2 linked regions of the Yarrowia lipolytica genome follow. The protein of the gene in region 2 interacts with the protein of the main gene of each other region in a biochemical or structural test. Links are inferred from orthologs where the notes say so. Each region holds a gene or a part of one and is shown on either strand. Other genes may lie near its edges.

The links.
Region 1: of the proteins of YALI1_C20646g (region 2) and YALI1_C31453g, one has a biochemical effect on the other in vitro, tested with the Saccharomyces cerevisiae proteins (3 studies listed by BioGRID, with this or other methods). The link is inferred for Yarrowia lipolytica from reciprocal best matches to the Saccharomyces cerevisiae genes CDC24 and CLA4.

The regions. Positions count from the first base shown.
Region 1 is NC_090772.1:3,141,532-3,147,069, forward strand, and holds YALI1_C31453g (uncharacterized protein), read right to left. Parts: upstream 3,793-5,538; coding exon 859-3,792; downstream 1-858. Other genes in the region: YALI1_C31408g (uncharacterized protein), read left to right, coding at 1-475. UniProt on the Saccharomyces cerevisiae protein: Involved in budding and cytokinesis.
Region 2 is NC_090772.1:2,061,403-2,066,603, forward strand, and holds YALI1_C20646g (uncharacterized protein), read right to left. Parts: upstream 3,233-5,201; coding exon 923-3,232; downstream 1-922. Other genes in the region: YALI1_C20597g (uncharacterized protein), read left to right, coding at 1-337; YALI1_C20664t (uncharacterized protein), read left to right, coding at 5,028-5,201. UniProt on the Saccharomyces cerevisiae protein: Promotes the exchange of CDC42-bound GDP by GTP. Controls the polarity of calmodulin, and the calcium regulatory process of bud emergence. CDC24 may be involved in the initial selection and organization of the budding site.

The DNA of each region.
Region 1 (5,538 bases), about 1.1 Mb from region 2:
CCATGTGTACCCAACCAAGGCCGCGTTTGAGTCCTTTGGAGCAGGGTTCTTCGCCAAGGGATCCGAGTATACTAAGGTGCTGGCTGCTCTGCTGGACGACGGAGGTAAGATCTTGTCAAAGGAGTCTGTGGATCAGATGTTCACCAACCAAATCCCCCAGTGGCCCAACTATGGACGACGAGGCATTCCTGCTGCCAAACCTGAGTACACCAACCCTCTGCCCGAACTGTTTCCTCAGGGAGAGGCGCCTCAGGGATGGGGCATTTCTTTCATGCAGACCGTGGAACCCACCCAAACTGGCCGGGGTCCCAATGTCGGCTGGTGGGCCGGTATCATGAATTCATTCTGGTGGGTCGATCGGACCAAGGGTGTTGCTGGTCTATGCCAGGCGCAGATTCTGCCGTTTGGAGACATGGACACAATGGTGCTGTGGCAGACTATCGAGGCGTTGACTTACCAGGGTCTGAAGGAGTAGGCCGGGCAGAAAGCACGAACAATGCCTGGATGCTGTAACTGCCGCCTGGTGCTCGTCTCTGGCCACACCTTTCAAACTGACTTAATGAACTAATGACGCCTGGCTGTACCAGTTCAACAAATTTCCTGTTCGGATACGTCTATCTATAAGAATATAATGAATAAGTTGAAGGAAAAAACTCATGGACGAACCTCCATCGCTTAGGTTAAGGCACTGACCTCTACATTCCCACGTTGCTTTCACATCCCCCAACTCTTTGCAACCTACGATATGGAACAATCTCGATAATGTACACCCACTCAGGTCATTCTATTTAATTCAATAATTATGTAAAGTCCAAATTCCACCCATATTCACCGTTATACCTATACCGTACCCATGTCCTAAATCTTCTTATGCTTGTAAGCCAACAGCGGACTCAAACTCTGCAAGCCACAGCCCTTCTTCAAGAACTCATGGTTGACCAGCTCGTCGGTGGAGGCTCTGTAATTGACATCAACACACAGACAGACAGAAAGGAACGCCTTAATATCCTTGCTGAGCCGTTCGGGATGCTTCAGCTTGGGAGTACCGTTAGTGGCAATCAGGTACAGAGCCTTGAGAGGCTCCTCGTTCAGGTAAGGAGGCTCTGACTCGATCATCTCAATCGCCATGATACCCAAGCTCCACACATCTACCTTAGCACCATACTCCTTCTGCTTGACCACCTCAGGGGCCATCCAGTATGGCGTGCCGACCATGGTGGCTCGCTTGTTCTTCTGGTCCGTGAGCTTGGCGCAGAAACCGAAATCAGTAATCTTCACATGACCCTGGTAGTCCAACAGCACGTTGTCACTCTTGATGTCTCTGTGGATAATGTTCTGATGATGCAAGTGCTGCAGACCTTTACAGGTCTCGCCGGAAATTGTGGCAATCTGCTCTTCACTCAGACTGTTGTTATCAATAATGTCAGTGAGAGCACCGCCCTCCATATACTCCATGACCACCCACAGGTCGTTGGTGCCTCGCAGATAGGCGTCCAGGAAGTTGACAATGTTGGCATGCTGCGACTCTTTCATGACGATGATTTCGTTCACAATGAGCTCCTTTCGGGGCTGTGACGCCAGATCCATCTGTTTGATAGCCACCTTCTTGAGCTGGAACTCGTTGGTCATAGGCCGAGCCACATACACAGAGCCAGACGCACCCTGACCCACCTTCTTGAGCTTCTGGTACAAGGGAGTAGGGTCCTGGGGGTTGACCACCGACTTGAGCTTCTCGGTGATCTGTGCGTCGGTCATGGTCGAGATTCGACGCTCGTCATGCTGGGGCTTCTTCTTGGGACCTTCGAGAGCAGCAGTTGTAGCAGCGGCGGCGGCGGCAGCAGCGGCAGCACTAGCTCCACCAGGAGACGTCTTGGTAGGAGACGTCTTAGTGGGAGACATTCTTGGGTAGCCACCCTGGCCGACACCAGCAGCAGAGGGCTTCTTGGGAGACGTCTTGGGGGTCGTCTTCTGGGGCGATGGTGCAGGCCGCTGGGGCTTGAACTGGTTAGCCGCTCCAAGAGCGGGAGCAGCAGACGTACCTGAAGATGCAGGGAGTGCCTGGGGCTGCTGAGTTTGCTGAGGCACAGGAGCAGCTCGCTGGGGCTGGAATTTGTCTCCACCGCTCTGTGCAGGCACCGGAGGGGCAGTCTGAGGAGGCCGGTTGGCAGGGATGGCCTTCTTGACCATGAGAGGAGCGACGTATGAGTTTCCCGACGACACAGAGTTGATAGAACCACTGGAGTTCTTGTGTCGCAGCATGGGTCGCTGGGGGGGCGGTAGATCGTGCAAAGCAGCTGTGGCCACGGGAGAGGCTCTGTATGCGGTGGGCGATGTCTTGGACGACAGAGAGCCCTGCGACGACGACTGGGTCATCGACGTGGGCGTCGTGGGGTAGTTGCCTCCGGTGTTGCTGGTGGGCGATTGTCGTTGCTGGTACGAGTCAACGTCGGGGTTGATTCGCAGCAGAGGATGCACGGGGGTCTGAGTGCCGCTGCCACTGGCTCCGCTGACGCTTCCACTGCTGTTTCCAGCACCGGCACGCATTTCGTTACGCAGTTCCTGTCGCAGCTCGCTTCGGTCCCTAGGGATCGTCGAGGTCGATGGCAGTCCATCAGGTCGCTCAGGCCGTGGGGGGGCCGCCCGGGTGACGTTGGGGACCGAGGGTCGTCGGGGGACGGATGTGGACGGAGAAAGAGACGTGAGAAGATCGTCGTCGTTCTTTCGTGTGGCATTATATCGTGCGGGAGTGGTGGCTGTTGAAGAGCTGGAAGAGCCAGTACTAGGGACGGGTTTGGTCCACTCCTGCAGGTTGTTGGCCATACGCTGGGCCTGCTGCTGCTTCTGCTGCTGCTGCATGGCCCGCACACGAGCGGCGTCCATTGTCAGGCCCTCATCAAACTTGTTCTCAATGCCAATGCCCAAAGAAGATGCGTTGAATCCCATGGCCTCAACATTTTCCTTGCTGTAGAACTCAAGCACCTCGATGACGGCCTGAGGGTTCTTGGCGTAGTCTTCCTTGGTGATGGCTGACGTCGAAAGCAGCTTGCTCCAGGCGTCGGGTAGACCAGTGAAGCCTCCGGAGATGGGGTCGAAGCCAACGTGCACCTTATGTGTGAAGTTGGTGGGATTAGAGACGCCCATGAGTGGGCATTTGGAGTAGATCTCATCGATCCAGGCGTACAGCTCCGTGTCATTCTTGCAGACGACGAACACGGACTTGAAGCCCGACGACCGCACAATCTCGAAGCAATATGGCTTGAGATCGACACGTGTCACGTTCGAGACCGTGTATAGCGGGATGGAGAACTGCACTGACGACGTCTCCGACTTTTGAAAGTCCAATGCATTTTCCCGCAACACCAAGTACTTTTTAGTCCACATGAGCGACCGGAACGATGATCCATCCTCCTTGACGGACGCGAACCCGGACTTGAGCACCCTGTTGGACGACGCGGGTCGTGTGATGGCGTCTCGTGTGATGGTGGGGGCGGTACGGGGCTCTGTGGGGGTCATGAGCCCGGAAAGGTTTGTGCCGCTGGAAGAGGCGGTGAGGCTACTGGCGAAGGGCTTGGGTGGCGGTGGGGCAGGACCAGGGTTTAGAAATGCTTGGCTGAATTGTGACATCTGAGTTAGTACAGTCTTCGAAATGAGTGTTGCGAGCATCTCGAATGTAGGGACGACAGGAGAAGCTGCATACATCATGAGCTGAATGTGGGCTCCTTGGACAGCTGTGTGTGTCGTAGCGTCTTCATCATGGAAAGTTTGGTATTGCCCATGGTCGGGATTTTTCATAGTCGGGATGTGCAATTAACTCATGGCAGTGCGACGCTCCACGCTATACATGGGCTGTGTATCAAGGGCTGTGTATCACAATGCAACGTCTCTGCACAGTTTTGTATGGTGGACGGTTCGCTCTGATGTAGAGTGGGTTGAAATGAATCGCTTCGTGCTGAGATCACTGGTGGTCAGATGGACCTAGATAGGCAAAATGAGATGTGAGGACACATGAGACACACCATGGCAATATACGCAGTGCCATATGATCAGCCCATCTGCAGAAAGCAGTGCCGCATGGCCCATATATCTGCTCATAGCCTCGATTTTGTCATATGTGACTCCCACCCCCCCTGTGTCCAATGTGTCCTACACGTGTCGAATCGTCACACCAACAGTGCAGATGCACACAGTGCGCCCAAGGTTGGAGACATCCGCCTCCTCTTCACTTTGCCCATCACCTCATAGTCGCAAACACCCATCCATGTTCTATCAGTTCGTCTATCATACTCACTTTAGCCTGTGTGTCGTTCGTTGTTCCAAAGAGTGTCCTTGCGGTTGTCTAATTCTAGTATCGATGATGTGTCGTTTTGCAACTGAGTCTGTGTGAGGAGGCTTTTGTGTTGGTGAGTATCACTGTCGTTAGTGTATCGCTGTCGCAAGTATCCGGTTCTGTATCTGTGAGTATCTGGATCCGTATATTGTACCTGGTTTTCGGTCCTTTGGTGTTGTGTGCGTGTGTGAATCTGGGCCGATTATGGGAAAAAATGCAAGTAGTTAGAGAGAGTCGTTAGAGCGAGTTGTGGAGAGGGTCGTGAAGAGAGTCGCAGAGAGTCGTTGAGGGACTGAGTAATCGAGAGGGCTCGTTCTTCTCCGTTCTGCGTCGCTCGTTGTGGTTTTTATTTCTTTGGCAAAGCTCGACAAGTGGTGGAAAAAAGACAATGATGAGGTTCAGTGGTCTCAAAATCTAGCTTCTGGACTTGTCAAAACAGTCCGTGAGTAAAGGGGTCCAACCGTAACCGCGATAGGCTTTTTCGGAGGGGATACACCTCGAGCAAGACAGACAGGGGATAGTAGTGTTGTGAGGGGAGACGAGAAATAGATAGCTAGCGGGCGTCTAATTACGGGGTGCGAGTAATTATTAGTTTGACGCCTTTTTTTTTTTCTCTCTCTTCTTTTGCTCTTTCTTTGGCTTCTCCGTCTTGGATTCCTGGGTTTTTCGTGGCTCTTTTTACACTACAAGTATGAGCACCCAACCCAACCCAGCCTGAAGTTGCCTCATTAAAAATACTGACTGCCTTCAGACGTTTTTTTAAAATTAGTCTTTCTATGTACGGCAATGACAGACTATAGATGATATTGCGATGGTGCGACGGAACAACTGGAGTAAGAGAAGATCTCCAACCAAAAAAAAAAAAAAAAAAAAAAAACCAGCTTCAAAACGGATAAACCGGATAGAATTACAACCAAAGATCTGCTGTCCTCTGTAGTACCAATAATGGGTGGAATTTACAACAATTCCTCTCCCTAACCAAGTTTTCTCCCTCCCGCATCCCAACCCAAACGCGACGCGAGATAAATAAACTAGACTCACATTAATTGACATGATAGAGGTACATGGCTGGTCCAGTGACGTGAACCGACAGCATCGGAAAAGCTCCTTGACAAACACACACACAGTGACACATAACGACCTAGGGTCACGTGAGCCACCCCTCCTCCCGCCTCCTCCTCCCCCACGCTCCCGCTTGGTCTTCTCAACTC
Region 2 (5,201 bases):
TTCCGTGTCACGAACCGGAACTAACCACGACGAAGACGAACCTGTCCATCTGAAGCTCACTTCTGACCCTGCTGACGCTCCCTTCAAGATCAACACTGAGGCTGATCTGGCCAAGCATACCGCCGACAACTGGGAGAAGTACAAGGGTGTCGAGGCCCGGTTCTGCCCCGCCGGTGTCTACGAGTACATTGAGGATGACGCTGGTGACGGCGTTCGATTCCAGATCAACTCGCAGAACTGTATCCATTGCAAGACCTGCGATATCAAGGTGCCTGGCCAGAACATCAACTGGACTGTTCCTCAGGGTGGAGATGGTCCCAAGTACTCCATGACTTAAGCACATTCCACTTTTGTCTGTAACTGAGTGCTCCAATGCACAATCGCATGTGATCCTGCCCCATCACCTGGGGAGTCCCATGAAGCGCACTCATGAGAGAGTGACTCGTGAGACAACCAATTAGTCCCACAACCCCAAATGTTGTATTTACTTACATGTGTTTTGCACATCCGCGTCTTAGACGTTAATATCATTTTTTTTACATCCACCGTGCTGTAGTCTTTGGATCTTACTGTATCATGTTATCGCGCTGACAACAACAGTGACCCTTCATCATCTGGTTCCGTGTTCAGAACACAGCTTGTAGGTGTCCAGTCACACAAGTACGAGTTACTGGTATCGACGTTGATAATTGGGGCGAGTGCCTGAGATCTTGTTCAATACACACGGTACTCGCACTCCCGGTCACATAACATAAATAACTTGATTATATCGTTTTTGCAGAGATCTGCGTCGTTTCAAAGCAGTCGAACACCGCCGTTTGTAGTAGTGAGTGTACAGCCTGAGCTGGTTGCGGAGCAGTTTCTTGCTGAACATGATCGCTCTTGATACATGTCCGTACCACGTTGTTCAAGATGCGTGCTCTTATGCGACCCAAATATTCAACTGCTCCAAATTTTTCTGTTCCAAAGCCATGGCGATATCCTCATCCGAATGGATGGTCACCATGTCTCCGTCTTCGTCCTGGTACTTGATTCGCAGAGGGGCAGGTACCACCTTTCCACACAGTCGCACCTTTCGCTCCACCCGCTCAATCAGCTGATCGTAGGTGACCTTGGCAGGCACAATGAGCGTGAATACGTCCTGGAAATACTGTACGCGTACCTTAATGTTTGAGGGACGCATGGAGCCATCATCAAAGCCAGGAGTAGAAGCAGATCTAGCCCGGCTCATGCCTCCTCCATTACTGCTCGCAATGGACACCGAGCTGTGATTCATGCCGTTAGCCCCGTGCATGCCGTTGATAGAGGTGGTGGAGTGCTGTCGGGGGCCCAGCTTGGGCACTGGGCCTGAAAGAGACCGATTTCCAAGCGTCAGTCGGTCCAGGTCCTCAGACAGATGCGAGCTCTGCTGGGAGTTTCGGCTGCTGATTGGAGACTCCACAAGAGGTGAAAAGTGAGACTCATACGAGTCCTGGTTGTACCAGTCGTGCAGCTGTTTGATGGTAGCATCCCATTGTCGCAGTTGCTCTTCGTGTCGGAACCGCATGGTCATAGAGCCATAGCCGTCTCCTTTGTACGTAAGCGTCAAAGAGTATCCGTTTTCTGTACTAGATATCATGTTGGTCACGTTGGCGATGTAGATTCGGCCCTTGAGAGAAAGAACTGTCTTTTGTGGCTTCTTTGAGGGCAAACTCATTGTCTTACCCTTTTTATCACGTGTCTCTTTGCAACACAGGATGATGGCCTCGAACAAATACACCAGGTACTCATATTCACCGGACTCCTTTGCAATCGTAAGGTGGTCCATGTAGAGCAGGTCTCCAAAATCTTCAAGGTTGTAGCTCTTCCAGCTATCTATTCGCTCGCACAGGTCTTGAATGATAGCCACGTTCTCCACCCTTCGCTGTGTCTCGTTGACACTGTTGGTAACCCGCTTGATGGCCTCCAAACCGTCTAGCAGCTCTGACGCGTAAGGATGGTCGCTGCTGCTCACTTTTACCAGCTCTCGTAGCAGTAATGGGTACTTGCAGATTCGTTGAATGGGCTTGATGAGGAAGGCCTGGAGCTCGTAGGTAGGCTCGATGATGTGGGCGAGGGCGGTGAGTTTGGGGGCCTCCTGAACAGCCAGATCGGAGGACGCCTTTTGGTTCAGCGCGTAGGGCTCGTAGATGTGAAAGCCAGCCTCCATGTTGAGGAAAAGTGCGCCAAAGCGCTGCTCTTCGACCGGCAGAGAGCACACATGTTCAATACCGACCAGTACTCTTCTCTGGAAGTCGACCAGTGCAGATACGTTCAGAAACATGAGATGTATAGTGTCTGGGTTTAGGATTTCAGCTTCCAGGAGACGGTTTTGGTAGTCGTGCAGTATTTCGAGATCCTGGACGTACTTTCGCTCTGTCTGTAGCAGCTCTTGAACCACGTTGTATCGCGCGTCTCGGGTGGCGGGTGCGGTTATGGGTGCAGTTTTCGGAGGCAGCAGGTGTCTGGCCTCCAGCGTCTCCACCACCATGCTGACCGTACGCATCACTTTGATAAGATCGCCCGTGTTTTCGGAAAAGAGGTTGGAGATGGTGAAGAGCTCGTCGTCCGAGTAGCCCAGCTCGGCCTTGCAGCCCTGCACAAAGTCGTAGACCGACCGTTTGCATGTTCGCACGTCGATGGACGCGCGGTTAGCGGCGGCGTGGGGGTCCACTGTGAGTGGAGTTCGAGGTTGCAGCATGTTGAACAAGATGCACAGGGGGGCTCCTAGTCGGAACAAAGACCAGAGCTGGGTAACGGGGTCCAGGGGGATGGAGGGGGGTAGGTGGGTGATGGGCACGATGGACGACATTTCCGAGTCTTCCAGGAAGGGCCGCACTTGCTCAATGTCGTGGAACCGGTCCCGCATGGTCTTGCACATATTGTAGAGCGACTTTTCCGAGTCGGCCTGTCTGTTCATGACGAGGTTTGCCACCGGCATGGGAGCCACCGAGGTGGGGGCTGTTGACTGCACCGACGACATGGACATGGTGGGCGTCATGGATCGCAAACGCGGCGTGGAGGGGTATGTGGAGTTCTGTGTGGACGGCGACAAGGTGGACAGAGACGGGGTGGATTGCGACGAGCTTTTGCGTTGCTGGGGGGTCTTCGTGTATGGCGACGACGGTAGCAGGTTGTTGATCTCCTGGTGCAGCATCTGCTGGTGAGCCAGGTTGTCATTTGGCGGAGACAGTCTTCGAGAGGATCCGTTCATGGTGACCGACGGGAGCAAGGGGGGACCGTGGTAGTGGACGGTGCGTGGTTTTGAAATGGATGTGCGTGGGAGGGTGCGAGGCGTGTGGTCACGTGGGCGGGCGATGCGACTAGTCCCGTGGCGATGATGGAAGCGTGCCTGCTTTTGTGTCGTGTGTGTGCTGTGTCGTTCAAACTCACGTCGTCACGTCCTCTCAGGTAGTGTCAACAAGTGCGGTGGGCCTTTACAATAGCAAGACACCGAACCTTATGGGGATACGAGTGAGGGGGGGGGAGAGGACTGGGGGGTTGGTAATAAGTGGCCCGATAAAACAACCTGAGATAGAGAGTTTAGTGGCGGACCCTGAGCCCTAAACCAAACCACAAGACAACCACCACCCCCTTATATATAATATATATTTATATATAATATATACTTCGATAAATTAACAAGCGGAACACAGTTCGCACAGGAACCCGACTTTTGCGGCCGTGGTGTTTTGGCCTCGTATCCGCTCCTTGTCGTTTCCCAACATTGTTCGGACTCCTTGTTTTAGTTGGGAGATGCGCAGCCCCTGGATGTTAGTCAGCCGAGCCTATTTGGGCCGCGGAACGTCAATTCTGGCCGCGGACACGGCGTGAGATGACCATCAAAAGGTCTCCTCCGTGATAAAGAGCCCGGATTTCCCATCTCTCTGGTGAATTTTTCTACTCTGTGACCCCACGATCTGGCCCCACGATCTGACCTCTCGATCTATCGAGTTGTCGGGCTTTGAAAATCTTTAAAAAAACCTTTAAAAAGATTTGGGAGGACGAGTGTGAGGGTAGAGCACGAGACATGTTGTATAGTACACACGAGAAGCACAAGTACAGTACTTGTAGGTATAAGACTTGTAGAGAACAAGTACAAGTACAGTACAATATAATACAATACAATACAATACAATACAATTACAATAAAAAACAGGTACCTTCACTGTAGCCTCTTCTACCCCATTGCAATATCCAAACAAGAAGTGGTCCGATGACTCGCATTCGTGGTTTTTTTCGTCGCCAAAGTCCATTCATTGTACAAACGAAGAAGCCTTTTTACCACGTGGCAACGAAATTGCGAGACCCTGAATGTGTTTTTACAGCACGAGACCTCGTGTTGCTGTAGGCCGGTTCTATTTATAGACCATAATTCCATCCACATCTCTTTCTCTCTCTTCTCTCTCTCTCTCTCCCTCTCTCTCTCTCCCACAGTTATGTGAACAACGCACCTGTGCAGACAGACTCCGAAGTGCTCAGTGGAATTAGCCGCCGAGACGCGCTGAATACGCTCTTATTAGTCCTTTGCTTTCTTTGGGCCTCTTTTGTCTCACCGAGCGTCCCCAGAATGTTTTATACACCGCGCCAACTCGTCCAACAACCTATTTTGTTTTACCACTCTTGTATGTTGTTAATTAGAGCGGCGCATTAATACGTTGAAGGTAATACGTCGGGCCAGTAAAGTTTCAGCTGAAACCGTCACATTGAACAAACATGCGCAGTCTCTCAGAGGCGCAACAGAGATGGTAGGGACGTGCAAAGAGTCTTTCTAGAATCCAACAAGTCCAGATATATGCCCTCTTTCTCTCAAAATGGAATTCCAGCAATTGAACTCCGATATAACCCCGTCCTCATTAGACTCCCACAGAGTTTGGCATCGTCGTGGTTATTATTGAAGATCATGTTGGATCATAAGTACGATTGATTAGATATAGATGTAACGACTCACTTCTTTGGTTTACCAAAACAGAGCTATTAATCGAGCGCGACCAGAAAAAACGTTCACCATGGAAACAGCGCAAGCCCAAGCTTCGGCGGGTAACTCCTTGGGCGCTCCGAACCCCCCACCTCCTGATTTATCGCGAGGTGATGGAGCCACCTCAACCGAAACCCCCAACCAAACCGACATTGAAAAAATCCAAAAAAACGACAAAAACGATGAAAACAACAAAAAAAACGAC